4 linked regions of the Ovis aries genome follow. The protein of the gene in region 3 interacts with the protein of the main gene of each other region in a pairwise test. Links are inferred from orthologs where the notes say so. Each region holds a gene or a part of one and is shown on either strand. Other genes may lie near its edges.

Region 1 (7,451 bases), on a different chromosome or scaffold from region 3:
GAAATGCTAGCGCAGCAGTGGGGAGGGTTGGAAGGAAATGAAAATAAAATAATGCTTTCATAGTTTAGAGACAGGGCTTTGAGATCATGTGGTCTAGGCTTTCCCACATTTTGGTTATTTGCATACCACTTTCACCTTATCCTCCTTACTATTTTTCTTTAAAGTCAATATTCCTAGAAATCAAGGGCTTATTATGGTTTACTTTCCTAATACACATTAAAATTACTAAAATAAAAAGTGTTTGTCAGCATGCCATACTTTGAGAAACACTTATTTACAATCCCGGTGGTATAACCTTGACAAGGTATAACCAGACAATCTTCTCCCGATCTGACTGTCCAAATGTGCTTATGAAGTTCTCCCAAACATATGGAACTGTCTTGAAGTCACTTTTTACAACCTAGTTTTTCTGCAGCTAGGAATGTTCACCAAAAATAAAGTCCTCTATCCCAGAAGAAAAAATCACTCCTAGGCATATATCTGAAGAAAACCATAATTCAAAAAGATACACACACCCCGATGTTCACAGCAGTACTACTTAGAATAGCCAAGACATGGAAGCAACCTAAATGTCCAGCAACAGAGGGGTGGATAAAGATGCGGTCCATATACACAATGGAATATTGCTCAGCCATAAAAAAAAGAATAAAATAATGCCATCTGTAGCAATATGGATGGACCTAGAGACTGTCATACTGAACAAAGAGAAAGTCACATATCATATGATACCACTTATATGTGGAAAAAAATTTTTTTAATGGTACAAATGTGCTTGTTTGCAGAACAGAAATAAGAGTCACAGATGTAGGGAACATCTGTGGTTGCCAAGGAGGAGTTGGGGGGGGGTATAAATTGGAAGATTGAGATTGAGATATACAGACTACTATATATAAAATAGATAACTAATAAGGACCTGCTGAATAGCACAGGGAACTCAATACTCTGCAATGACCTATATGGGGAAAGAATCTAAAAAAGAGTTATATATGTATAGATATAGAGATATCTATACCTATATATGACTGATTCACTTTGCTGTAAACCTGAAACTAACACAACATTGTAAATCAACTATACTCCAATAAAAATTATTAAAAAAATAAAGTCCTCCACCTTTAAGTTGTTTACGCTCTAAATGGGGAGAAAAAGAATTCCAAACTTAATCGTGCGTTTCATCTATTTACTAAGAAGGTATATCAAAATTAGCCAAACTGGAAAAATTAGAGTTCCAGGAGTGGTAACAAGTCCTAATTTGGGGTGATGGTAGAATATATTATAAAGAATGAGGAATTTTGTCAGGGTAGTGAAATGCTTCATGATATATATATATTTCATTCTCTTAAATTTTCTACTGTAAGTGTTTATTACTTATACAATCAAAACAACATATTTTTAAAGTCTAGATTTTGGAGTCATTCTGACCCAGATTTATATGCTGCCATTTAAAACTGTTTGTGATCTTAAGCAGCTTAACCTGAGACTTGATTATTGAACTGATAAGATAATGAAATCTTCACAGGGCTGTAGTGAGGAACATATGAAAACCTCCCATCACTGTGACTGGCACACAGTAGTAATCAATAAATCAAATGTGAATTCGTTCTCCCTGTAAGACACATGAAATCTTTCTAAAGAAAACAGATGAGGACATAACAGGCTCTTAAAAGTGATCCCCACTCAATGGCAAATCCATAAGGCCCTTGTTACCTTGACTGAAGCTGGACCCTTCCAGTTCAAGTACTGCTCTAGTTCTGTGCCCTTGGCCCGGGCCCTAGAGGAGTCAAACACTTTCCTCTTGGAACCCTGCATCCTGCGGCAGATGCTGGAGTGTCTCTCCAGCCTGAGCAAGAGAAACTTTCGGCCGCAGTGGCTGCACTCGCCCAGTTCTGGCTCTTCAGTGGAACAGCTGGAGCCTGAGGAGTCTGGTGCCCTGGATGAGCTAGAATTGCGGGTGTATCTCTGCAAAGCGCTCAGCGGTGCTTCTGTAGCTTGAGAAAACTTCTGCTTCAATGGCCTTGAGACTCGGTCTCGGATTTTGTTATTGCTTGCCACCAGTCTTTCCCTTTTGAGCTTCTGAATTCTATAATTAGAGAACTGGAATGGACTAGAATTCTCTCGAGATTGTCCCCAAGTTTCATCTTCTCCTGTGTCTCTGTTGAAGACCTCCTCAGACCTGAGTGCTGGAGAGAAGATAGGTTTGTATGCGGTGATGCTATTATCTTTAACTCTCCTCTGGGAGAGCACCATTCTCTGAAGCTCTCTTTTTTCATTTTCCTCAGCCTGTTCTTTTCCCTTCTGGATCCTTCTGAGTTCCTCCTCCGTCTTCTTCAGCTTTTCCCTCAGAAGAGTCTCTTTTCTGCGGATTTCCTCCCCTAAGCTCTCCCCTGCAGCTTCTAGTCTTTGGATTTGCATCCACTCCGTCCTGTTGGCATTTGCCATGACCCTTTCCTCCTGAGTGGCAGCAACTGGACCAACCATCGATGAATTCACCCAGTTCCTCGAACCAAAGCTACTGTACGAATACTTTCTGGGCTCAGGGATTCTTGGAGAGGCGTTCCGGTCTCCATCAGTGCCAGCCTCACCTGTACTATGGGACTTCCGATGAAACACAGGTTTCAGAGGGTATGCTCGGTCAACCCCCACTCGCTTCTTTGTCAAGGGGATGAATTCTTGGTCATTTGTTTTGGGATACCGGGACTGAGGGTCTGATGTGTAAAACAAACCCTTGGCTTGGCCCTGGGGATTGTTCCTTGAATCCTGCTGGCTCATTCCAGCACAGTGAGGATACGAACAGCTCTGGGCTTTTGTGCAGGTGTTCCACTTGGGGTGAGTGTAGAGATTATCCAGCATCAGTTCTTGGTTACTCAAAAGCTTCTGCTGGAAATTGTTCCTCGGGTGCCCTGTAGAGGACTGCTGGGAAGAGTCACCTTTTCCATAGGGGTCTTGCTTAGCTGAATGGAGCTCTGGAGCATCCCTTTTATTATGTGGGAGCATAACGCCCATAGGCAGAGGCAACGCCAACTGGAGACCAGCCATTCAGAGCCTGGACTGAAGCCTAGGGGAGATTTAAACCAGACACATGTGAGGAGTTTGTCTGAGGTTTACCTCCACTGTTAAAGTATAACTGTTTCTACATCTGCCTACCCACAATTCCCCTTAGACTTTTTAGGGACGCTGGTGCTGGGTCCACCAGAGCTTTCATTCAATAAGCATTTGGTGAATGCTTACTGTGTTCTGTGGGTGCTTATTAGGTTCTGAGGATAGAAAAAGGAGTGTGATACAGGTGTTCCTGCCACCTACCTTTCCTTTGTATCACTACCAGCCTCTGCCATACACAGTGACGCTTCCTCATACACAATAATACACTCCACAGCAGATGGAAAGAGCTATTGGATTGAAAGTCAGTTTTTAGGCCTGTGACACAGGACAAGCAGCTTCCCCTCGCTGGGGATTCGCCCAGAGTTACAGGACTGGAATTGAGGGGCCGTTGGACTGTGAGTTCAGCCCCATCATTTTATAGGCGAGAAAACTGCAGCCCATTGGTAAGTGACCGGCACAAAAACTCTCGGGGCTTCCCTCCTGCTGGAACCGTGCTTGATCCTAAAGAGCACAGAGCCGGCTCAGGGCATACAGCAGGTGCCTGGCTGCCAAACCCTCACGCAAGGACCACTCGATCCGGCCACCGCGGGTTTAGATCGGAACGCGGAAGTTGCGTTCTGTCCTGGAGGGTCACCCGGGACGTCCCCGACTTGTGACTCCGCTTCGGAGACAAGGCCTCGGCTCTTCAGTCCGTCGGCCCTTGGGAGATCGATGCGCTGACCCCATGCCTTCCCGCCCTTCCGCGTACCTGAGGCTCTTTTGGAGGCGGCTCCCGCTTAGGGGAAGCCACAGGACTCAAGCTTCCTCACCACACGCCCTCCAGCAGCCGCCGGCCGCGCAGGCGCTCTCAGAGGGCAGCTGTTATTCCCGTTGCCTGGAGACGGGGGCACGTGCGCGCGCCCACCCCCGCCCCGCCGCGAATTCCGCGGGGCGTGCGCAAGCGCAGTCCGCTCACCCGGGGCCGCCGGGGCCGCGGGCGCGGTCCAGCAGGGTCACTAGACTCGGTGTCCCGCCAACTCTGCAGCTCAGTCCAGCCCTGCCCTTGGGGAACGTGGGTAGGGGGTGGGAGAGGCTCTTCTGGGGCTCCATCAAAGAGCTTGTACTTTTCTCAGAGCGATGCTCTCCGATCCTGGGGTGTGCCCTTCTCTGGCAAAAAAAGGAGCGCCTAGATGCGCCCTCAGGTCATTCTGCCGCAAGATTCCGGTGTCGGCCCTCCTCTTAGCGGGAGTGGGCCTGCTGATCGCCTTTCTCGGCACGCTCGGCTGCTTGGTACCGGCCCCAGGTACGGCTGTCGACTCTGTCCATGCTTTTCCTCGCACATAGTTTGGAGCTTGCGTCAGATTTTAGCAACTCCGCTAGCTTTTGCTAGGCAGTCTCTTCCTGGGGAGGTTTTTGTAGCCAATCTCATTATTTTGATATAATGTTTTCCTTTCATGTGGTAACTCTGGCCCTGTCTTCTTAGGGCCCAAGAATGACTCAGACAAGTGTAATGATAATGAAGTTAACCACCAGATCCAAAATACTCAGTATAACCTGATTTCAACCCTAAAGATATCCCATAACTTGTTAACATCAGAAGAGAGTTTATTTGTCTTCATACTTCAGTTCATTTGTGCAAGCTGTTTGAAACAGGCAGCTTACTCTTTTTCCCTTGTAACTACTTACTTAAAAAGATTCATGCCCATGGAAAATAATATAGACAGCAGTGGTCGGTGTTACTACTTCAACATGTCATATTGCAGCTTTTACGTGTTATAAAGAAATTCCTTGGCGGTGCTCCAAAGCAGTCTTTTGATGCCTTGTTTTCCCTTCTACTTGTCTCTCAAGTGCCCTCTCTGTGTATGCATTTCCAGAGGTTTGTCACTCTTTTCAAGGTCCCAATTATCTCAGCATGGGGCTTGCCTGTCATCAACTCCCAAAGCTCCCCTCTAGCCTAGCAGAATTTCCCAGGGTGCCTCCTTCCATCTTGACTCCTTTCCATCTTGTTTCTGAGGAAAAAAAATCTTTGTCTTTCCTTGAGTTCTCTTGACTTAGTCCCTTTCAGTACCTTCCAGGAATTGACTCACCATACCCATCCATCTTGCTAACTTCAAGTTGTATCCATCCACACACTCTGGTTTTAAAATATGCTTAGCTTTGCCTTACAAAAAAAAACAAACAAACAAACTTCCTTTCCCTTGACCTCACCTCTCACCTTAGGGTCCCAGTCCTTTCTCCTCTTCTCAGAAAGATTTCTTAATAGAAAGCTTTACATTAGCAGCCCTCACTTCTTTGACTCTCCCTCATTGTCCAGTCCATTGTGGTCTGGTTTCCCCGTCTCTGCTTTGAACTGGCCAGTCTACCAGTGACCTTCCAATGACCCTAAAGACAAAAGCTGCTATTTCTTCAACCTACTCTTTGACATTATTGATTTTTTTCTCTCCGTTGGAACTCTCTTCTCACTTGCTTCTCTGTGCCTTCTTGGTTTCTTTTTTCATGTCCTTGTTCCATCTTCTTTCATATTCTTGCATTTATGTCTTTTCCTCACTTGCCTCCCAAATGTAGTTGTTCTCCAAAGCCCGCTTATTTCTCATATAAATGCAGTTTCAGACATTCTCTTCCTTAATGATTTCAACCAAATGCTGGAATTTCAGTTCTCACCTATGTTTCAGTGGCATCTAGCTTAGTTCTCCCCCTTAGTAACAGACTCAAGTTTCCAAATGCCCACGTAGCACATGCACGTGAATGTTCCTCAGGTATCTCAAAGTCAATAAGACAGAAAACACAGTTGTGATTACCTCCCTATTTCCCAAGCCACTTCTCCAGTGTTCCCTCTCATGCTGAAACCTCAGTCTTCTTCCACTCCCCCCTATTTGTCACCCCTTCTAACGGGTCAGCAGGCTCTGTTGAATTTATTCTGCAGTGTCTCATATATGTCCCTTCCTTTTCATTTCTCCTACCCTAGGTGAGTTTCTTCTTCACTCCTCACTGGGACGGCACCACTCTCCTAACTGCTATACATCTGCTTCTTTTGGCTGTTCTGAGTCTTCATTGTGGTGTGTAGGAGCTTCTCTAGTTATTATGTGTGTTTTAGTTTCCTGACTGGGGATTGAATGTGCATTGAAAGGTTAACCAGTGGACCCCCGGGAAAGTCCCTATCCTAAATCCTAAATACACCTGAACCTGTCATTCTCCTACCCAATCGCTTCTTCTTTACCTACAGGATAAAGCTGAAACATGCCTTGCCTCCCCAGAGTCAACCCTAGCTGTGTTTTAGGGCTACCTGGAAAGCAGTTTTTCTGGAGGTTAAGGCCTGGGTATCAATCTTGTGTAAACTTTCCCCCAAAGTCCTAATGTACAGCCAGGGTTGATATATACCCAGTAGTATATCAGTAGTATATACTCAGTAATATACACTCAGGGTCCAGCCACATCTGACTACTCATACTCTCTTACCTCAGTGGCCTTCCTCCAACTCCATGTGCTGGAAAGTAGTAGAACATAGCATTCAGTACAGAGTAGGCTCTGTACTCAGACTGCTTGGAACTAAATCCCAGCTCATCACTTACTCTTTGTGGTTATGTAACCTTGGGTAATATGCCGTTTCCTCCAAGAACGCTTTCCCAGTCTTGCCAGCCAGAAGGAATCGCTCTGCTCCTTTGTGCTCTCATAATATTTTTTGGTCACAGGGCTGGCTCGTGATGAACTCTCAATGGATGTTCATGGAACTTGCATGTTGTGCATTGCATCGTCATCATTTGCATGCATATTTGTCCCTTATGTGAAATAAAAAAGCTCTTTAAGGACAAAGATTATATACCATCCATCTTTGTATATCCCACTGTGTATACATGTAGGTACTGAATAGTTTGATGCTACAGAGAAACTAGGTTTCTTTAAAATAAATTTTAAAGAAATAACATCAGCTAGTTACTCTGTTCAGCATTATTTTCAAATATTGCCTAGCATGACAATTCAATCCAGTTTCCAACCTCACTGCCACCCCCATACCAGCACTGAGGTCATATGACTCTCCAGGATCTGGACCCTCACTTTGTAGTGGGGAACTAATGGAATAATGAATCTCCATGGCCTGCAAATCCATCTCACCTTGCCAAGTGTGCCAACCTGGCATACATATGGAGTCTTAAATGGAGGGATGTAAGGTACACAGCACTCCAAAGGGCGACAGTAAGCACCACAGTTTACCTTCATTCACATTCTTTACATATATATATATAATTTTTGTTTGTTTGTTTGTTTTTGACTGCGCTAGGTCTTCATTGCTGTGCTCAGGCTTTCTCTAGTTGTGGCAAGTGAGGGCTACTGTCTGTTGCAGTGCAAAGGCTTCTCATTGAAGTGGCCTCCCTTGT
Region 2 (7,608 bases), on a different chromosome or scaffold from region 3:
ATATATATAAAAGAAAGCATAATTACCTGTTAAATGGAATATCACTTGCCATATCAGTAAACAAAGAAGGTCGAAGCCATCAGACATTATAGCCACAGTGTATGGTGAGCTGCTGAACCCTGAGGGAATCTCTGGGAAGAAAAGAATACTTGCCATCTAGAGGCCATGGCTGCTCCTCATGGTGATTCCCGAGGAAACTCAGAATATAGAAACATAAGATGAGATGCATATCAAAGAAACAATTTCAGGAGCCTAGACTTTTGGATCTTTCCATACATAGAAAAGTGCTAAATTCCTTAACTTGACATATCTTGTTTTCTTTAACTAATCATCTTTTGATGTTTGCCATTTGTCGCAAAACTTCTGTATATCCTGACTATTCTGCTTGCCTCCTCAGAGCAGTTTTTCAGGGTTACTTGGGATACTGTCTCCCAGCCTTGAAATCCTAAAAGTTTCCGTTCAATAAAACGTAACTCTTGACTTTTAGGTTGTGAATAACTCTTTAGTCAACATACCTCAATATAGTTTATGTTGTCAATTACAAGTTGGCGCTTACCTGTCAACTACAAATTGGCACTAGCCAAAAGCATTGCCTCTGACTGAACAACAAGGGCATTTACCATCTGCCTCTGCAGAGACTGAGCCCTGTGCTACCGCAGCTGTTGACCTTCAACACCCCTAGAGCGAGTTCAGGGTGGAATAAGGCACTTTGTGCTTCAGGGAATCTGGTGCGACAGGTCTTTAGATTGTTGTTGTTAAGTCGCTCAGTTGTGTCTGACTCTGTGCCCCATGGACTGCAGCACGCCAGGCATCCCTGTCCTTCACATCTCCTAGAGCTTGCTGAAACTCACGTTCATTAAGTTGGTGATGCTATCCAACCATCTCACCCTCTGTTATCCCCTTCTCCTCTTGCATCCAGTCTTTAGACAGTTGGATATTTTCAGGAACTGATTTCATGATCCTAATCCTTGCATCTCCTCATATCTAGAAAAGCACTAAATCGTTTCTTAATAACATCAGATCCTTGTGACTAGCAGAATACCTCTTGCAGTAAGAACTTGATTGCATTGAACTCTCCTTCACCAAAATCTTATTTATTGACTTTCCCCAGCTGCCTCTTTGGTGCAGATGATGCCACCCTTATGGCAGAAATCAAAGAACTAAAGAGGCTTTTGATGAAACTGAAAGAGGAGAGTGAAAAAGTTGGCTTCAAATTCAACATTCAGAAAACTAAGATCATAGCATCCAGTCCCATCACTTCATGGCAAATAGATGGGGAAACAATGAGAGACTTTATTTTGGGGGGCTCCAAATTCACTGCATATGGTCTCTGTAGCCGTGGAATTAAAAGATGCTCACTCTTTGGAAGAAAAGTTATGACCAACCTAGATAGCATATTAAAAAGCAGAGACATTACCACCAAAGTTTGTCTAGTCAAAGCTATAGTTTTTCCAGTTGTCATGTATGGATGTGAATGTTGGACTGTAAAGAAAGCTGAGACCTAAAGAAATGATGCTTTTGAACTGTGTTGTTGGAGAAGACTCTTGAGAGTCCCTTGGACTGCAAGAGATCCAACCAGTCCATCCTAAAGGAAATGGTGTTAGAATCTAGATTTCTTCTCCCTGCATTGTTTCAGCCATAGGCTGGTGTAATCCAGCAATTGAGTCTGGCAGTTGGGTGGCTCTGCAGCCTTCTTTCTGATATGTAACTATAAGGGGAAGGATATTGTAAGGGTAAGCTCAACATTCAGAAAACGAAGATCATGGCATCTGGTCCCATCACTTCATGGGAAATAGATGGGGAAACAGTGGAAACAGTGTCAGACTTTATTTTTTTGGGCTCCAAAATCACTGCAGATGGTGACTGCAGCCATGAGATTAAAAGATGCTTACTCCTTGGAAGAAAACTTATGACCAACCTAGATAGCATATTCAAAAGCAGAGACATTACTTTGCCGACTAAGGTCCGCCTAGTCAAGGCTATGGTTTTTCCTGTGGTCATGTATGGATGTGAGAGTTGGACTGTGAAGAAGGCTGAGCACTGAAGAATTGATGCATTTGAACTGTGGTGTTGGAGAAGACTCTTGCTTGAGGGTCCCTTGGACTGCAAGGAGATCCAACCAGTCCATTCTGAAGGAGATCAACCCTGGGACTTCTTTGGAAGGAATGATGCTAAAGCTGAAGCTCCAGTACTTTGGCCACCTCATGCGAAGAGTTGACTCATTGGAAAAGACTCTGATGCTGGGAGGGATTGGGGGCAGGAGAAGGGGACAACAGAGGATGAGATGGCTGGATGGCATCACGGACTCGATGGACCTGAGTCTGAGTGAACTCCGGGAGATGGTGATGGGCAGGGAGGCCTGGCATGCTGCGATTCATGGGGTCGCAAAGAGTTGGGCACGACTGAGCAACTGAACTGAACTGAACTGAAACACCAGATGTTGCTGTTCAATCACCCAGTCACGTTCTATTCTCTTAGACCCCATGGATTGCAGCATGCCAGGCCTCCCTATCCCTCACCATCTCCCATGCCCAAGTTCTTGTCTATTGCATTGGTGATGCCATCCAGCCTTCTTATCCTTTGATGCCCCCTTCTCCTTCACACCAGATAGTAGATGTATTTAACACAGTCAAAGGAAAATAGGTGTGAAGTGTAGCTCCTGTACAGTTAAGGGGCAGAAGAGCAAATTTAGTTACGTTCAAAGTTAGGAGTTTTTAAAGTAAACAAAAACAAAAAAAGAACAACTAGAAATATTCAGGCCTGCTCGCTGTTCTCTTTTATCTTCTTTATTCTCTGGAAAGGGAAGAAAAATACCCATTCCTCTTTTTTTTTCACTTGTTACTGAGACAGTATGAACAAACAGTATGAGGTCAGAAAAAATGTTACACTTTAAACAAGTATAAATTATGAAGTGCAATGCGAAATTCACATGACTTTTTCATATACTGTGCTTAAAAAAAAAAAAAAAATCCACCAAAGCAAACTGCTCACTCTTCAAAGCAAGTCTTCTCTCCTGCTAGCTTGCACTGTCTTTCTGGCCAGCCTTCCTTTAGTCCATTCCTCCAGCACAGGGAAACCTCTTTGGCGATAAGGGCACTTTGGTAGAAATCTTTACAACATGTACCTTTAATCTAAGGAAATGGCAACCCACTCCAGTGTTCTTGCCTGGAGAATCCCAGGGAAGGCGGAACATGGTGGGCTGCCATCTATGGGGTCGCATAGCGTCAATGCGGGAGACCCGGATTCGATCCCTGGGTCGGGAAAATCCCCTGGAAAAGGAAATGGCAACCCACTCCAGTACTCTTGCCTGGAAAATCCCACGAGTGTGGTAGGCTACAGTCCATGGGGTCGCTGAGTCGGACACGACTGAGCGACTCCACTTCAGCTGTGACATGCCGTCAGTCCCGTGCAAACTGCGTAATACATGTACGCTGACACAAGTCTTGTTCAGGGCAACCCCAATACACGAAGGAGTGTAACCCCTTGACTTAACCTTCGGTTTCTTCCAAACCTAAGGGGTAGACAATTTACCGAAATAATAAGCAACGGTTTGCGCATGCTCTTTTGGTGGCGCAGATTCCCTCCTCCCCCTAGTCGGAAGTCCCGGTTTGTTTACTAAATTACGACAGTCGTAAACCGAGATTTTTGTGCCGGCTTCCTAGCTTTACGACAACAACTATGGCGGCTGCCGGGGGTAGATTTGAAAGTGCGAGTAGCATCGAAGAGCGTAAAGAACAGATTCGAAGTGCCAGGACCGAGGTGTTGCGCCAGGTACCTCAGTTTTGAGGCTTTGGGAGTCATTTAGATTTGAGAGTGGAGGCTTTCTGGGAGTCAGGCGTCTAGCTCTCCTGCCTCCCTGCACCTTTTCCTGTTTCAGTTCCTCAGTATCTTACCGTATCTAGTTGTGTGGGGATAGATGTTTTCCTTTGGGATGCTCGCACACTGTTGGTATCTTCTGCCTCTTAGATGGTCTGGAAGGCTCCAGTTGCTCATATTCTTTTCCAGAAAACTTGTTCCTTTCCTCTGACGTTCCTTATCTTTTAAAGCATCCGTGCTTGACATTTCTAGCACCTGATCACCTGTGCTGCGCACTTTCGAGGGACCCCACTACTTTCCCTGCATATCTTACAGCCTAGGTCCTCCGTCTTGTTATATCTGAAATGAAATTTTCCGTTTTCAGAAACTCGTGTAAGGCACGTTAGAGTAGATCGTTTCATTCTCCTTTTAAGTTATTTGTGTCAGTTATCCGGCTTATTGCAAACCCGTACTGAACCAAACAGCGACTGAGACAGAGATCTAAAAAATTTAGCTCCTCGAAAAAAGTTGAGAAACGTGTTTTTCATTAAGATTGAAATGAGTAGAAGTAAAATAAGGAAGGGAGGAAGTAAACTGTACTATTGACTTAGCTCAGAAGATGTGAGAAGTGTGGCAGGGGAAAAGAAGTGTGAAGGGGAAAAGTTGTAGTTAGAGAACAGTGTAAGGTGAAACAAGTGATGATCATTATTTTATCTGTTTTAAGCTATAACCGTTTAAAACACATTTAAATGCTGCTGCTGCTGTTAAGTCGCTTCAGTCGTGTCCGACTCTGTGCGACCCCACAGACGGCAGCCCACCAGGCTGCCCTGTCCCTGGGATTCTCCAGGCAAGAACACTGGAGTGGATTGCCATTTCCTTCTCCAGTGCATGAAAGTGAAAAGTGAAAGTGAAGTCGCTCAGTCGTGTCCGACTCTTCGCTACCCCATGGACGGCAGCCTACCAGGCTCCTCCGTTCATGGGATATTCCAGGCAAGAGTACTGGAGTGGGTTGCCATTTCCTTCTCCATTAAATGCAAATAAGGAACCGGTGTAGGAGATAGGAAGGAGAAGTTATAATGACTGCAGTCAGATTTTACAGGGGAAGAAAAGGGCAATAAGTCTTACAGAGGTGAAAGATTGGTGGTCCCTGATTTCAACATATGTAATATATGTGTATAATAAATATCCTTCATCCTTGTCTCTGATATTTCAGAGGGAGTTTTTGGAGGGAGTGGATTTGTAAACTATGATAAATTTTATAGTATATCTATGTACAGAATTTTGAGAAGGACCAATCCTAGCTTTGAAATTTGGGGAGAGAATGAAAAGGCAGGAACAACTTCTTAGGAAGCTGTTACTTAGTTTGACTGTTTTTGAATGATAAAAACTTATCAATATGATCATTTGTTTTTAGAAAGGTGATTCTTTCTGAAGCATTTTGAGGGTGTGGGTAGAGGGTTATGGACATTGCAGATTGAGGGTATGGAGGTCAGTCTCCTAACAGTTACAGAAGTATCAGGCGCTGTCAGTGGAATAGCGAAGGGAAAAGAAATTCAAGTCATTTTTAAAGTAGGGAGCTTAGGGGACAGGAAGAGGTCTGCAGTAGGTCCCAAGATTCTGTCCTTGATTGGTGGCTCATTTCACTGTACTGTGCTGTGCTTCCTCATGCAGTCCTGTCTGACTGTTTGTGACCCTGTGGTCTGTAGTCCACCCGGCTCCTCTGTCCATGAGGTTCTCCAGGCAGGAATACTGGAGTGGATTGCCACACCCTCCTTCAGGGGATCTTCCAAACTGAGGGATTGAATCCAGGTCTTCCCCATTGCAGGCGGATTCTTTACTACCTGAGCTACTAGGGAAGTCCGGTTCCTTTCACTAGTGATTGCTAATTGGTAATGCAATTGGTAATGTGGAAGGAGAATTTGTTGTTTTTAATCTTTCTTACACTTTGGTAGGGGCTTCCCAGGTGGTGTTAGTGGTAAAGAACCCACCTGCCAGTGCAGGAGACGTAAGAGACGCGGATTCAGTCCCGAGGTTTGGGGAGATGCTCTGGAGGAGGGCATGACAGTCCGCTCCAGTATTCTTGAGAGGAGAATCCCATGGACAGAGGAGCCTGACAGGCTACAGTCCATGGGGTTGCAAAGAGTCTGTCACAACTGAAGTGTCTTAGTATGCATGCACACACACTTTGATAGAAGCAAATTTGTGGTGAGCCTTGCACGAAAGTGGGGGAGGTTTCTGTTTTGCTTTTTTGGTGAGAAGTAGGTGGGTCAGTTGTTAATTTTTCTTTTTTCACGGTTTTAGGCTAAAGCCAATTTTGAAAAGGAAGAAAGGCGTAAAGAACTGAAACGACTTCGGGGTGAGGAAACATGGATGCTACCTGATGTGATTAAGAGAGTTGAACAAATCTCACAGGTAAATACTATTAGGCTTACTTGGTGTAAGCTTTTTTTTTTTGCACTTATTCAAGTTAATACTGGAGGAGCAAGTTTATAAACTCTTTTTCACAAGTTAAAGAATGAATATCACATAGTTGACAGTACTGAATATTTGTCTTTCTGGCTAGAGTAGTATATATTGATATTTTGGACATGATATTGGAAAGATTGTATTAGTTGAGTTGGCTGGTAGAAAGCTTAGATCCAAGTTTCCAGTCCACTTGTGGTAAGTTTATGGATCTAAAATGTTATGTATTTTAAACTTAATGTGATGCTTTTTTTTTTAAGGGGGATGTCTCAATTCTTGCTTTCTCTTTCCACAGTTTATGCTGTCTTGTTAGATTTTATATGGTTCGTAATCTATAAATTCTCTTGGGCCCGTTGAAGGAGATACATATACACTGTGTTTTCATATATATGTTTGATTATATCTGTCTGTCAATGTATTTACAAATAAATTAAAACTCCTTATATTTTTCCAAGAAATTTTAGCTATATGGTTTATTAGTAGTGCATATATTATAGAAGCATGTCAAAATTTTTTAGAAGAAGCTATTTATTTAATCATATTCCTTGTCTCCTTTCATGAAAGATTTAAAGTGTTTTAGGACATAGATCTTTTCCTCAAAATACTTACTTTTTAAAGTAAGCTAAAACTAAATTCTTGCCTCTTCAAAATGATTATTTATAGGAAGACTGTGTGAAGAAAAAGAAGAAAAAAGACAAGCATTCAAAAAAAGTAAAGAAAGAGAAGAAAAAAAAGAGCAAGAAACGAAAGTGTGAAAAAAATGAGTCAACCGACAGTTCATCAGTAAGTATGTGCTAAAACTAACCAAAGAAGCTACTTGAGAATATTGTATCTAAAGAAGCAACATACTGGGACCTAAAATACTTATGAGAACTTAGGAAATATTACTAGTTAAGATACACGCCCAAGAAAATGCTTGGGAGTCATCTACTTGGAGGTGTACAGGAAATGGTAGAAATATGGACCTTAGGTTGTAGATAAGGGCTAGAGGATGGAGATGTGGTTGGAGAATCATTGCTGTTTAAAGCCATTAGCATGGATGAATTGCCTTGGGAAATTGAAAAGAAGGAAGAATACCAATACTGAGAAGCCAGACAGCAAGTAAAGGATTTTAGGCAGAAGCATTTGGAAAATTAGGAGAAACAGGAAAGAGTGAAAGGGGAGTAAAAATTGTACCATAAAATAAGGCAAAGAGTACCAAGACTTTGTTTGTTTGTTACCTCAGTTTGTTTTTCATAGGCATTAACAATTAAGTGTTTAAAATGGGTTGTGTTTGTGTATTTATCTTTGGGACAGAAAGGAAGAGAGTGCTGGATCTGTTGTGTCTCTAGCCAGGTTTTGGATGAGAGG
Region 3 (6,761 bases):
AAACGAGCTAATCCTGTCAAACATCTGGCAAACATCTGCCTGGCACATGCTGAGCTGCTGTTGTAAGATTAGCTAATTCTGCTGGTACGGTGGGGAGGGGATATGCCCAATCTCCTCTTCCCATTCTTCTGCCAGGTCCCTTTCACCAAGCTGAAAGTTGAACGTTGGGAGTGAAAGTTACTAAATTTAATTTTCATTCTGTCTCCCCCAGGCCTGCTGTGGGGGCACCTGAGTCTGAGGGTGAGAAAGGGAGAAAGAAAGCCAGAGTCAGGACCCTGACCTGTGGCCTAAGCATCTAGGCTCCCCTTAGTGTAGGGACTGGGGAATGGAATTATATCTGGGCTCCTTCCCCTCTTCCAGAGCCTCCCAGAGGAACTCTTGGGAGTTATGGAGAACCTTCTATATGCCAGTCCAGGCTTTCTCCCAGAGCCTGCTGGGGCCAGAATCTTGGGCCTGCCCTCCTCACCTCTCCATCCCGCATCTCCACGGTCTTCACCACAATGTTCCTCTTGAGGTGGCCTTCTGACACGGACTTGGTGTCCAGGCTGGTTTCTGCAGACATGAGGAGAGGAGGCCTCCATAGGCTCTCAGGGCCCTAGACATCCTCTCCCACCCTTGGTTTCCCCCTGAGACCCCTAATCGTGAGTACAAAAGCCTATCCAACCAGAGAAGTCCTAGGCTCTCCCAGAGGGGCTGGCAACCTCCTAAGTCCCCACAGTGCCAAGCAAGCCCTCACTTCCCTGCTTGCTGTCCTGGCCTGGCTGCATTTCAGCCCCTCTGCAGTTCCTCACTTGGCCCCTGGCTCCCTGACAACCCAGTATCACACCAAGGAAAGAGCATGTGGTTACTGAAGTCAGGCAGGCCAGAGCTCGAGTCCCAGCTCAGCCACATGACTGTGGGTAAGTTAATTTACCTCTTCCAACCTCAGTGTCCTCATCTGCAAAATGGGGATACTGCTGCCTACTTCTCTAGGTCGAAGTAGTGAGTTAACTGAAACAATGTGTGTAAAACAATGGGCACGTATTCATGTTCCGTACACATGGGTCCCTCTCCCGTCCCTCTTCCCTTTTCCTGCCTCTCTCTGCCACTTCTCTAGGACCCTTTTCTGTCTGGCATGTGGCAGTATTGCCTCTACCTGGTCTGCTGGTTAACTCTTCTGATACTGAACTAAGCCCTCGGACATGCATAGCTAGTGTTCCTAAATTTCTAGTCCAGAAGAATTATTTTTTCCCTCAGCTGAGAATTATTTGAGGGCCACATACAAGTAAGAAGCAATTTATTCCCCCCTGCAGAGAGAAAAATGTAACATGTCACACTCACTAATGTTTAATATTAAGAGCAGGGGACATAAAACTTTATTCACTCCAAGAGCAGCAGTCTAGAGGGAAATAATCCTCTGGGCTGAATCAGCCCTGAGCTGAACAACCGAGCCTCGGGGACAGAGGAATCAGGCCAAGAGCCTGGCTGCCAGGCACCGTGAGACTCTAGGGGCCCTCCTGGTGATGGGGAAGAGGTGAGGCAGAAGCTGGTGTTTGCTCAGAGGCCCAGAGCATCTGAGCTGAGTACCCGAGGACTTAGCACCTTGAACACTGGCCAACTCTACTACTTTAATGTACATTTACCCTGTGCCAGGTCCTGGACTGGGCGCTGAGATTGCTGGGGAAATGACACAGGGTTGGCCCTTTAGGGAAACCTGGGAGGAGGGAGCTCAAGAAGATGGGGAAAGTGGGCTTGGTGAGCTTGCTCCCTATTAAGGTGAAAAAAGCACCATGTCTAAAAGGCAGGCAGCTAACCGAGAGCCGGCGGGGCTCCATCTACAACCTGGTGAGCCTGAATTGGTATAACTTGTATTGTGAGGCTTTTGAGATGTCTTGTGACCTTGTGACTTTCCCCTTCTTTGGTGCTTTTGCCCCCTGTAGTGACAAGCAGTTAAAAAAAAACACACAAACATCAAACACTCAGCTGGACAGGGATCTGCAGACAGGTGAGAGGTTAAGACCCTCACTCAGTTCTGCAGTGGAATGGGGAGTAGGCATGGGAGGAGGGACAAAGGGCAGAGCAGGACAGGAGTGGCTGCAAGCCCCACCTGGAATGCTCTGGAATGGTGTGTTCTGGCTGGAAGTTCTGCCATGAATATTGAAGGTCCCCACAGAGAGCACTGGGCCCCTCTGCCCTGGTCCTCGGGCTCAGACCAGAAGAGCAACCCACAGGCCTGGGGAAGGGGGCGGGAATCCAACACTCTGCCCACAAAACCCTGTTCTACTGACCTCGGATCTGCAGGTTGGAGAAGGTCTGAACAGGAATGGTGATGCTGAAAGACAGCAGAAGGAGAGGGGTGACCAGCCTGCCAGAGGACACTCCCAGGCCAGATCCTGGTCCAAGGTCACCATAATAGCTTCGAGGCCCTCTTCCTTGCCAGGAAAGGCGGACCTCCATCTCTTAGCTTCTCCAGCAGCCAACACACTCCCCGCGCTGTAAGAGCTCTGGGGGAACACCTCCACTCAAAAGAGAGTGAGTGCTCTGAGGATGACAGAGGGGAGGGGAGAGCAGTGAAGAGAGTTCCCAGGAGGCAGAGGAGATTGGTCAGCAGAAAAGAAGTCCAGTCTTTGTTGGGAGGGTGGGGAGTGAGCCTTTTAGTTTGGAAGATAACCCAAGTCCTTACCCTAGGATCTGATCAACATGGGCTGAATTGAATCCATCCATTCATTCATCAGGCATTTATGAATACCAACTGTGTGTTAGGTGAGCACTGTGCTGGGCGCTGGGATAGGAGGGGGCTGGTCACGAGGCTGAATAAGACAGTCCCTGATGGGGCTTCCCAGATGGCGCAGTGGTAAAGAACACACCTGCCAAAGCAGGAGACACAAAGAGACGTGGGTTCTATCCCTGGGTCGGGAAGACCCGCTGGAGAAGGAAATGGCAACTCACTCCAGTATTCTTGCCTGGGAAATCCCATGGATATAGGAGCCTGACGGGCTACCATCTATGGGAGTCGCAAAGAGTTGGACATGTCCGAGCACACATGTATTCGTGAAGGGAGCAAGGCGACTCTGGGGCGGGGCAGTAGGGCAGGCGGCCGGTCTGGGCTCACCGGTTCTCCTCGCCCTCCAGCAGCTTCCTGTAGGTGGCGATCTCGATGTCCAGGGCCAGTTTGACGTTGAGCAGATCCTGGTATTCCTGCAGGTGGCGCGCCATCTCGTCCTTGAGGCTCTGCCCCTCTTCCTCCAGCCGGGCCAGCGCCTCCTGGTAACTCGCCGCCTCCCGCGCGTGGCGCTCCTCTTGCTCGCGCATCTGCCGCTCCAGGGACTCGTTCTGTGGGTGGAGCCGGACCGTTCCCCGAGGCCCCGCCCCAAGAAACTTTTCAGAGCTCCGCCCCGAGCCAGTCCTTCAGCGTCTGCTAGGGCTGTAGGTCCCAGGTTCCCGGCTCGCTCACCCGTACCCCTCCTCCGCCTGCGGCCCCGCCCCTGCTCACCGTGCCGCGCAAGGACTCCAGGTCGCAGGTCAAGGCCTGCAGCTGCCGTCGGTAGTCGTTGGCCTCATGCTTGGCCTGGCGGAGCAGCTCCGCGTTGCGGGCGGCGGCGTCGTTCAGGTCCGCGAACTAGATGAGGAGAGGGCTTTATGCTGGAAGGCGGTCTGGGGCCGCATATCGCGGGAGCTTAGTGGGCTCGGGGGGTTGGTACGCGGTCTGGAGGATCAGGGAGATGGGCCGGACGGTACGGCTGTTTTCCAGCCCACCCCACGCCACTGGCACTGGGTGGGATTATTCACAGTCACCCGTGGCCCATGGACACAGACACAGACGACATTGCTACTTCTCTAGCATCTAGCTCAGTGCCTGATGAGGGAACGCGTGAATGAGCAGAGGGTGTCACAGAGCCCAGACTCTCCAGTAGCTCCATCCTCGGGACTGAATCCTGTCCTCCTAGGTCACACACAGGGAGCTCTGGTGAGCAGAGACCAGGTTCTAATAACCCTCTCTCCTTCAGCCTGCTCTGAATCCCTCATGGTTCCATCACGCCTTAACCTGCTCAGAACCATCCCTGACTTCTGCCACTTACACTCCTCAGCTCCATGCCCTGGGCCAGGATCTCCGGGCCCCCACTTTTCTGTGCTTTATGGCCTCTACTCAGGCTGTGTCCTGCATGCCCTTCCTGAATGCCCTTTCTCTCTTCTCTGTATGTTCGTAGGCTGCCAGTCCCGCCTGGCCCCACTGCCCTCCCATGAAATCTGTCCTGCTTCCGCGTTGCGTGTAAACCCTGCCCTGCTGCGTTCTTCACAGACATCAAGCTGAGTGACATCACATCCCCCTGGTCAGACGTGTCTCTGTATGCAGGGCAGAGCCTGGCATGCAGCAGATACTCAGTAACCCAGGATGCAGATGGCAGAAGCATCAAGAATGTGGGCTTGGGACTTCCCTGGCAGTCCAGTGGTGAAGGCTCCACCCTTCCAATGGGCGAGGCGTGGGTTTGATCCCTGGTCAAGGAACTAACATCCCACATGCTTAGAGGCATGACCAAGAAAGCCCCCCAGATAAACAGTTAAAAAAAAAGATAAGAATACAGGCTCTTAAGTGAGACAGCTAGGGTTAGAAATCCAGCTCTATTGCTTAGGAGCTGTGTGAATTTGGCCAAATTGGTTAACCTCTCTGGACTTCAGTTCTGTCATCTATCAAAGGACAGTACCTACTTCATGGTAAGATAATCCTTGCAAAGCCCAGGGCCTAAAACACAAGAGTGTTGGCTAGTAGTCAATCGCAACAGATACTAATAAGTACTTATTGGAAGTAATAGTGCCTGTATGACCCTGGGCAAGTCACCTCACTTCTTTGGTGAAGGTCAGTCACTCAGAGAGGATCCTCTCTCAGCTTCCTCCACCCTCCTTCCCTGATTCTTTTGTATGGAGCCAGGAGGGCTGCCTGGAGAAGGCAGGCTGCCCCAAAGTCAGGGCTACCTTGGACCGGTACCACTCCTCCGCCTCTTGCATGTTGCTGGACGCCACTGCCTCATACTGTGTGCGGATCTCTCTCAGAGCCGCTGTGAGATCAGGCTTGGCCACATCCATCTCCACGTGGACCTGCTGCTGGGCCAGCTGCTCCTGTAGCTCCCGCACCTCCTGGCCAGGGTGAGAGAAGGGTTGCCAGGCCTCAGGGACCAGCTGCAACTGGGGCTTCCCCCTAGCATCATGCCCTCTTCCTTGGACACGGATGTTGGCTAGGGGAGATGGGATGCTCCTAGTTGGAGGAAATGGCGTTGTCCAGGATAAGGGAAGAAGCAGGTTAGTTTGGGGGCCCCGGGATGTCCTCCTCCCAGGCCCGGAAGTCAGGAGCACTGGAAGCATGTCTGTGTTCTCATGAAAGAACGTCTGAGTCCTGGGGTGTGGGTGTCCCTATGGGTTCCTGGGTTCCCTGAGTCCATGGATTCTGAATCTATTATCTGAAGTCAGAGCTCAGCGGGGTCTTTTTTTTTTTTTTTTTTTTTAATGTATGGCTGTCATTTCAATGGAAACAGATGGCAGAGGGAGTGAAGTCATAGAGACCAACTATGTGACCTTAGCACATTCTTTAGCCTTTCTGGGCTTCAGGGTTCTCCTCTGTGAAAAGGAGATAACACTGGAACCATCCCTATCTCACAGGGCTGTAGTGAAAAAGAATGAGGCAACAGGGCCCACTTTAAGTGGAGGGTGTGTCTGGGTGCATTCTACTAGGGGCTGGAGGTGCTCTCTTATCTGTCTCTAGCTCTGCCTCCCTCAGTCTTTCTCTGCCTCTCTTTCTCTGTCTCTCTCTCATTTTCTTTCTCTGTCAGTGTGTCCCTTTCTCTCTCTGAATATCTGTCTCTGTCTCCCCATCTCTTTCCCTCAGTTCCAGTCTCTGTGTTGGCCTTTTTTCCCCTCCTTCCCGATCTTACCTCCTCATGGATCTTCCTCAAGAACCGGATTTCCTCCTCCAGAGACTCAATCTTCCTCTCCAGATCCAGACGGGCCAGGGTGGCTTCATCTGCTTCCTGGAGCAGGGCGGGGCAAAGGGCCGCTCTGACCCCAGACTCATCCTCTCTGCTCCCTAGTCTAATCTGATCTCTCCTTTTGCGGCTGGTGGGGGGCAGGGAGAGCACGTTGCTCTGGAGGGTTGGGCTTAGGGACTGTGTTTGGGTGGGCTGCCATCAACATTTTCCCCCTCCCTGATCCTTCCCCACCACCCTGACCTGTCGATAGGCAGCCAGGTTGTTCTCAGCCTCCAGCCTCTGGTTGGTTTCATCCTGGAGCCTGAGGTAGGGAGATACACTCCTGGGTCTGGGCTCTTCTGACGACTATGGGGACCCCTCCCCTGATCCCTCTGTCAGAGAGATACTCCCCCACCCTCAGGAGCAGTGGAGCAGAAGGAGGAGTGAGGGGCAGGATTCTAGACAGAGCTTTGGCCAGAAGGGTGAGCAGACAAGAGCCTGCGCTTTAAGTCATTACCAAGGTGCCTTATCAGGGTTGCTGCACCTGCTCCTGCTCACACAGGCGCTTCCACCAACCTATACTCACTCCTGCCATACACACACACACACACACACACACCCCACACACGTCTTCTCGCACTTGAAGTCACACACGCATACTCTGCCAGTTGGCAAGGACTATGCCCCTGGCATTTCCTCTGACCTTCGGAAATGGGTTTATTAAGATCTCCACTTTACAGCTGTGCTAGCTGAAGCACCTTGACTAGGGTCGTAAGCTGGGGACAGGCAGAGTCACCTGTGTTCTGAAGCCAGGCTTACCTGCTG
Region 4 (7,527 bases), on a different chromosome or scaffold from region 3:
TAATTAGCTTATATTCTTCCATAAAGAAGGAACTTCCTCTCTTTAAAATTACTATTGAGTGATAGTAACTTCTTCCCTTGCACTAGTTTTCATTCACAGACTCCCATTTAAAATCTTTTATATGCCAGATTGCATTCATCATTCTTCCATTTTTGTTAAGTGAAGCCATTATAATTGCCAATATGATTGAGCTTTATTGGGTATGAGATGACAAGTGCATCCACACTGAGAAATGTAATTATACCAAAAACTAGGGAACCTAATACTTTAGCCTCTCTGACATAAATAGGGAGTCATGTAGAATCCAGGCTTCTGCATTTGGACAGAGATTAGGTTGTCATTCTCCTGACCACCTTACCAGGAACTTGGGCTTGCAGCCAGTGGCCCAGCCTTTCCTCTCACTTTCTTCCTTGATTATCAGGCTCCACCAACTTTTCTGACCTCACAGCTCCTAAAGGTCCCTGCTTCCAGTGACTCCCTTTGCAAAGACCAGGGTTTATATTTGGTTTTTAGGATTGTATATGCAGATTAGCTGGGAAATGTTTGATTTTCCTCAGCAATGTCTCAAGTGATTGCCATTCTTCTGAGGGCTTCTCTATATCCTAAGAGACATGTTCTAATATAGGGCTTTTCTCATCCCTTGATGTTCTGTCCATATCATCAGGTTCTTCCTTTCTCACTTAGAATAAGGGTTTCCTGACCATGATTTTCTGTAACCTTTCCCCCCTTATTACAAATCAGTACTGTTTATTAGAGGCTTCCCAGGTGGCCCTAGTGGCCTGCCCATGCAGGAGACGCAAGAGACACAGGTTCAAGCCCTGGTTGGGGAGATCCCGTGGAGAGGGAAATGGCAACCAGCTCCAGTATTGCTACCTGGAAAATCCCCTGGACAGAGGAGACTGGCTGGCTTCAGTCCATGAGGTTGCAAAGAGTTGGACACAACTGACCACATATTGTTACTTAGACAAAAATTAGTAAATACCGATGAGCAAAAAGTTATGTAGACATTTTGGATTCTCTTAGTATGGGTTGGGCACTTTTATATAACTCGCTTAGGCCTGACAAGGAACCTAGGATTTATATTATCTCGTTTTTTCTTCCTTTGCAGTTGAGGGAAATGAGACTTGAGGTTAAATGAGTGGCTTAGGTTCATTAGCTAATAAGTTGCAGAGCCAAGAATTGTTATATTACCCTTCCAGAGCTTTTTCCTCTATGTGTTCATGCTGAATTACTTCAGTTGTGTCTGACTCTGTGGGACCCATGGACTATAGCCCGCCAGGCTCCTCTATCCAGGGGATTTTTTAGGCAAGAATATATACATACATAAAAAATAAAATTCAACAGCAGTCTTTTTAATCCAACATTCTTCTCTTTCCCCTCCTCCCGAACCTATCCTCAGGATCGACGAGAATGTGTTGGGAGCCCAGCTGGACGTGGAGGCCGCCCACTCAGAGATCCTCAAGTACTTCCAGTCGGTCACGTCCAACCGGTGGCTCATGGTCAAAATCTTCCTCATCCTCATTGTCTTCTTCATCATCTTCGTGGTCTTCCTTGCCTGAACCCTCTCCACTCTGAGGCACTCCATGGGGGTTTGGAACCCTTCTGGGAGGGCAGGTGGCCAGAGCTGCCACTGAGCCTGTGCAGGGTGCTTGGGAGAAGGGCCCTGTTTCCTTGGAACTGCTAAGAATGACCACTGCCCTCGGTCCCCCACTCCTTGCCTCTGGCCACCCAGCCCTCCCCTCACCACCCTCCAGCCCATGAAACACACACGGTTCTGGATTTGGACTCTGCTGTGAAGTGGCTGGAAAGGAGCAGAGGCCAACTGAGGGGCTCGTCCGGGAGATTGTCTCCACCAGGAGATTTTTATAAACCCTCCCCAGCCTGTCGCAAAGGGAACTTTGGCAGCAAGGGGAGATGATGCCTTTCCCCACCTTCCTGAGAGCAAGGAGAGGAAGTGAAACTGCCCCAGGGACCAACTTTCCCATCTGGGTTAGAATTTGACTTCTTCCTCTCCACGACATGAGGCAGGGGGCCCTGAGCCCCTCGGCGGCCTGCACAACCCCAACTTTGGCTGCAGGTGACTCTCAATCTGCCAAACGTGCTGCAGCCCGTTTTCTCCCAATTACAGCAAGACTGTCAGCCTCACTAGCCATGTCGTCATTTCTGGGTGGGAGCGCCGAAGAAGGGCCTAGGCAGAAATGGAGGGAGCCTGCTGCCCAGTATTACAACTGAAAGGGCTGGACTGATGACCCTGAGGGGCCAGGCTTTGGGCTCTGTATACACAGCTGCTTCCAGCAGGCCTAACCCAGTGCAGCAGTACTTAATTATCATGGAAAATTCCCTTCAAAGCAGGGTATACGATCCCAGAGTGGGTCTCTGATTAGTGGTAACTTCTAGGACCATCTCCAGAAGTATTTGGACCTGTTTCATCTGCATCTTCCAGTCCTACCGTTTTCCTTGGGCTGGATGAAGCAGGAGTTCTGCCTGCTGCCAGGAGTGAAAGGTGAAGAATTTGTTCCCAGCTCCAGCTGAGGCTCTTGGTCCCCTCTTGAAGCCCCTCACCAAATCCAAACCAGTCACAGGAGAATGAAGTAGAGATCTGCCTGGAATACCTACCCTACCCTGGAAGGTCAATATGCTTGTCAGTCCTGACCAGGACCCACAACCACATCATTCTGAGATCACTGGAGTACCCCAATTTCACACACCCCAAAGGAAGCTCAAGCTATAGTGACAACAGTCACACACTGGGCTGGCTGTAGTACCTTGGGGTTGGGGGCGGTAGTTATCTAGGAGAGCCCTGGCCTTTCTTAGCCCTGGCCTTTTAGTATTTGCTCTCCGTTTGACCTGTGTCCAGGGGGTGCTCTTGCTTGCATCTTAACTTTAGTTGACACACGATGTGGGTTTAAGCACAGCACATTGATGGTGGGTGGGGTGATCTGTGAAGATGATCAAAGCCTGACAAATGCAGTTTTTCTCATTTGACTCCACAACTATTGGGGGGGGGGGTGTTGCATAGATTGGAAATTTATTTCATAATATTTGCTGAGTTCCTGGTACATGCCAGGTATGGTACTGAGCCAGGTGCTGGGGAGAAAAAAAAAAAAGCCATGAATTAGTCAACTCCTTGCTCTCTTGGAGCTTACCTTCTAGTTTTCTATTTCATTTTATAGGCAAGGAAAGCAAGGCATAGATCTGTAGAAGGCAAAGGGCTGAGCTGAGACTTAAGCCCAGGCTGGATCCTCCTAGGGGTCTTGAAGCGGTCACTCCAAGGCACTGGTCTCCCATTCCTCAGAAGCCCTTCTTGTGGCCCTCCTTCCCTTTTTCTTTTTGAACCCTGGGGTGCAGTGGCCATCTCTGCTTCAGTGCCAACCTTGGAGGTGCTGCTTACCGGCCGACGATGAAAGCAGAGGGCAGGTGCGAGTACTAATCAGGGGGATCAGTAAACTAATCACTACTGGGCGGAGCGTCGGCCTCAAGCTCCGCCCCGGTGTCTCTGCTGGTCGAATGCGCACGCGCATCTCCCAGCGGCTCCGCCTATGATCGTGGGACGTCGACAGCGCGCGACACGGTCTCCTTATAAACGCGGTGGTAGCCGGCGTAGGAGCACTTCGACCTAGAGCGCCTGGGCATTCGGACGTTTGGCTAAGTGGCGGCCCGCGACGCAGCCCGCCCCTGCTTCTAGCTGTGCCATGGCGGACGAGGGGAAGTCATACAACGGTCAGTGCTGGTCCTTGGGCCGGGGAGAGGGGCGATCTGGAGCCCCGCTGGGCAGCGCCGGCCTAGGCCGCAGCGCCGGGGCGGGAGGCCGCGAGGGGCCGGGTGTCCGCGGGGAACGGCAGTGAGTGGCGCGGGCCCGGGGCGAGGCAGCCCGGGCCCTGGCTGAACTCGAGGGTGAGTGCCCGGCTCGTTGACCCCAGAATCCTGGCGCTGTGAGCACCTGCGGCTCGGAGCGGGTGGCTCGGCGGTGAGGTGACTGGATTCCTTTGAACTTTGTGGGTGGTGGATGCCTGTCAGTTCAGTTTGGCGGCTATAGTAATGTGAGTCAGTACCCTGTTCTTGGGCTGCCGGTGCCCTATTTTCTACCGTGCGTCCAGTCGGTCTTGCCCCCTCCCCCGCCGTCCGCAGCTTTAGCTTTAATATTCTAGACCTACACTTTAACTCACTGTTTTAGCCAGAACACTACAATGGGTTTAGATCCAGAGTAGTGGTTGTTGGCCATGCCGATCATATGTGAGTTAAACACTCAGGCCTGATTTTCCATCCCCTGAAGGAGGATAGAAACAGTACCTGTCTCCTGAGTTTGTCTCCATGTGTGTGTGTTTGTATTAAAACGAGATCGTGTGCGTCGAGCGCCTGACATCGGATAAACTTATTGATAAATGTTAACTGCACCTTCTAGTCGTCTATTTTTTCCCTAGGGTCGTTTCATGAGATTCAATGTTTGCAGAGTACTGGGCTTCCCTGGTGGCTCAGAGGGTAAAGTGTCTGCCTGCAATGCAGGAAACCCGGGTTCGATTCCTGGGTCGGGAAGATCCCCTGGAGAAGGAAATAGCAACCCACTCCAGTATTCTTGCCTGGAAAATCCCATGGATGGAGAAGCCTGGTAGGCTATAGTCCATGGGGTCGCAAAGAGTCGGACATGACTGAGCGACTTCACTTCACTTCACTTCATAGGGCTCTTTTTCAGAAGCCATTTCTACACACCACAGTTGAGAGGAACTCCAGAGTTTGAGAATAAAATTTATAAAAGAAACCATTAGATTGATCATACTTGTAGTTGATGTTTGTACTCAGTAGGCAAAAGGAGTATTGATTAAGTTAATGTAATCATTATGATTGGTTTACCTGGATATGAAAGAGGTCACTTGGGGTTAAGTTGATGTGGGTGGGCAGACAGCAGATTTCAGGTGACTTTTCGGAGAATGAGTTGTGTCCAGTTACCCTTGGGTCACTTCAACATTCACTTCAGAGTGGCAGTTTTTTAATATGGTTGATTTACAACATAATATTAGTTTTCAGGTATGACATGAAAGGGAACATAGTGATTCAGTATTATGATAGATTATACCCCATTAAAAGTTATTACAAAATAATGGCTGTCACCCCCCGTGCAATAATATATTATTGTTGCCTATCCATTTTATACTTAGTAGTTGCTGCTGCTGCTGCTGCTGCTAAGTCGCTTCAGTCGTGTCCAACTCTGTGCGACCCCATAGACGGCAGCCCACCAGGCTCCCCCGTCCCTGGGATTCTCCAGGCAAGAACACTGGAGTGGGTTGCCATTTCCTTCTCCAATGCATGAAAGGGAAAGTGAAATCTCTCAGTCGTGTCCAACCTTCAGCGACCCCATGGACTGCAGCCTTCCAGGCTCCTCCGTCCATGGGATTTTCCAGGCAAGAGTACTGGAGTGGGGTGGCATTAGTAGTTGGTATCTCTTAATCCCATAACCTTATCTTGCCCCTCCTGCTTTCCCTCTCCCACTGATAACCAGGAGTTTGTTATCTATATCTGTGAGTCTGTTTCTGTTTTGCTAAATATATTCGTTTTAGTTTTTACATATGTGATATCAGACAGTATTTGTCTTTTTCCGACTTACTTTACTAAGTATAATAACCTCCATGTCCATTCATGTTGTTGTAGTGGCAAGATTTCATTCTTTTTTTATGGCTGAGTAGTATTCCGTTGTGTGTGTGTGTATACCACATCTTTATCCATTAGTCCCTTGATGTTCATTTGGATTGCTTCCATATCTTTCCCTCTGTAAACAGTGTTGCTGTGAACAATGAGATGCAGGTATCTTTTTTTTTTTAATTGACCTGAAAACAAGTGAAGCTCATATGTATTCTTCCCTTTTTCTTAGTTTTGATGCTTTAAAGAAAAATCTTTATATTGGAGTATAGTTGATTTACAGCAGAGTGATTCAGTTATACATGTATCTGTTGTTTTTCAGATTATTTTCTCAGGGAGGTTATTACAGTACTGGGTAGAGTTCCCTGTGCTATATACAGTGGGTCCTTGTTGATTATCTGTTTCAGATAATAGTAGTGTGCAGATGTTAATCCCCACTTCCTCATTTAGGCATGCATCTTTTTAAATTAGTACTTTTTTTCTTTTTTCTGGATATATAATTGGAGTGAATTTGCAGGATCATATGGTAGTTCGAATTTCAGTGTTTTGAGGTGAGAACAAGACTTAAAAGAAGCCTTTCAATTGGTCGTAGTTGTAACTGACATTTGTGCTTTATAGGCAAAAGAAGTATTGTTTACTGAAAGCTGATGTAATCATTGTGATTGACTTTTCAAGATGTGATCAAATTTTGAGTAGGGGTAGTCTTAGAGAGTGAACTTATGGTTACCAGGGAGAGGTGGGTAGGGAAGGGACAGATTGGGAGTTTGGGATGGACGAGTACACACTGCTATATTCACAATGAATAACCAACAAGGACCTACTGTATAGCACAAGGAGTGCTGCTCATATTCCATTAACAGTCTATTTGGGAAAAGAATTTTAAAAAGAATAGATACATGTATAGGTAAAACTGAATCACTTTCTTGTACACCTGAAACTAACACATTATTAATCAGCTATACTCCAGTGTAAAATAAAAAGTTAAGATTTTTTTGAGTGGGGTTAAGTAGATTTGGGAGGGTGAGAAAAGCAGACCTCAGGTGACTCTCGGGAGTCTGAGTTGTATCCAGTTGCACTTGAGACACTCACTTCCACATTCTGCTTCTCCTTTCTCTAGTTCCAGTTTCTGCTTCACTTTTCTCAAAAGACTTCCCATAGTTTTCCAGTCACTGAGGTTGCCACCCCACCAAGAGGGTTCTTTCCCTGCACAGGCAGAGGAGTTTGCACAGAGGTGGCCTCCGTGGTGACTGTGTATCTCCTCTGATGGTGCAGGGTGCTGGATAGTGCGATTGCCAGGCAAGATAGCTGAAGCAGTGGTGTCTTCTCTTCTTTTTAAAGTATTCGAATATGTATTTGGCTGCGCCAGGTCTTAGTTGCAGCACACAGGATCTTTTTTTTTTTTTAATTGTGGCATTCGAACTCTTAGTCAAGGCATGTGGAATCCAGTTCCCTGACCACGGGTCAGACTCCGGGCCCTCTGCGTTAGGAATGGGGAGTCTTAGCCACTGGACCACCAGTGAAGTCCCTCCAGTGATGTATCTTCTAATTTTTGTTTTGTTTCCAAACCCAGAGCACGATGATCGAGTTAGTTTCCCTCAAAGAAGAAAGAAAGGCCGGGGCCCTTTCCGGTGGAAGTCCGGCGAGGGGAACCGGAGGTCCGGAAGAGGGGGCTCCAGCGTTCGGTCCTCCCGCCTGGAGGACGACGACAGAGACGTGGCGATGAGCGATGTCCAGGATGCTCCCCGAGTACGATAGTAAGTAACCAGTTGGTCTGGTTTGAGTTCAGCGGCCCCCTCATTTATGTGGCCCTCTTACTGCGCATGTCATTTCTCTTCCAGCTGGAAGGGAGAAATGCCAGGACCAGCTTACTGGCAGCTGATAGTTGTGGTCCTGATA

Evidence for each region.
Region 1: the proteins of GFAP (region 3) and ZC2HC1C interact in binary tests that used the Homo sapiens proteins (3 or more experiments, as listed by UniProt). The link is inferred for Ovis aries from reciprocal best matches to the Homo sapiens genes GFAP and ZC2HC1C.
Region 2: the proteins of GFAP (region 3) and CWF19L2 interact in binary tests that used the Homo sapiens proteins (3 or more experiments, as listed by UniProt). The link is inferred for Ovis aries from reciprocal best matches to the Homo sapiens genes GFAP and CWF19L2.
Region 4: the proteins of GFAP (region 3) and NXF1 interact in a two-hybrid assay, tested with the Homo sapiens proteins (3 studies listed by BioGRID and IntAct). The two-hybrid records come from large-scale screens. The link is inferred for Ovis aries from reciprocal best matches to the Homo sapiens genes GFAP and NXF1.

The regions. Positions count from the first base shown.
Region 1 is NC_056060.1:84,394,393-84,401,843, reverse strand, and holds the start of ZC2HC1C (zinc finger C2HC domain-containing protein 1C), read right to left. Parts: upstream 3,949-7,451; 5' UTR 3,301-3,948; intron 3,056-3,300; 5' UTR 3,037-3,055; coding exon 1,708-3,036; intron 1-1,707. Other genes in the region: ACYP1 (acylphosphatase-1), read left to right, coding at 4,216-4,381.
Region 2 is NC_056068.1:15,694,721-15,702,328, forward strand, and holds the start of CWF19L2 (CWF19-like protein 2), read left to right. Parts: upstream 1-3,660; 5' UTR 3,661-3,678; coding exon 3,679-3,771; intron 3,772-6,096; coding exon 6,097-6,207; intron 6,208-6,921; coding exon 6,922-7,041; intron 7,042-7,608.
Region 3 is NC_056064.1:44,353,599-44,360,359, forward strand, and holds part of GFAP (glial fibrillary acidic protein), read right to left. Parts: intron 6,259-6,761; coding exon 6,198-6,258; intron 6,000-6,197; coding exon 5,904-5,999; intron 5,113-5,903; coding exon 4,951-5,112; intron 3,599-4,950; coding exon 3,473-3,598; intron 3,313-3,472; coding exon 3,092-3,312; intron 2,312-3,091; coding exon 2,268-2,311; intron 1,914-2,267; coding exon 1,794-1,913; intron 553-1,793; coding exon 467-552; intron 1-466.
Region 4 is NC_056074.1:37,644,364-37,651,890, reverse strand, and holds the start of NXF1 (nuclear RNA export factor 1), read left to right. Parts: upstream 1-3,579; 5' UTR 3,580-3,692; coding exon 3,693-3,720; intron 3,721-7,201; coding exon 7,202-7,385; intron 7,386-7,527. Other genes in the region: STX5 (syntaxin-5), read left to right, coding at 1,400-1,559.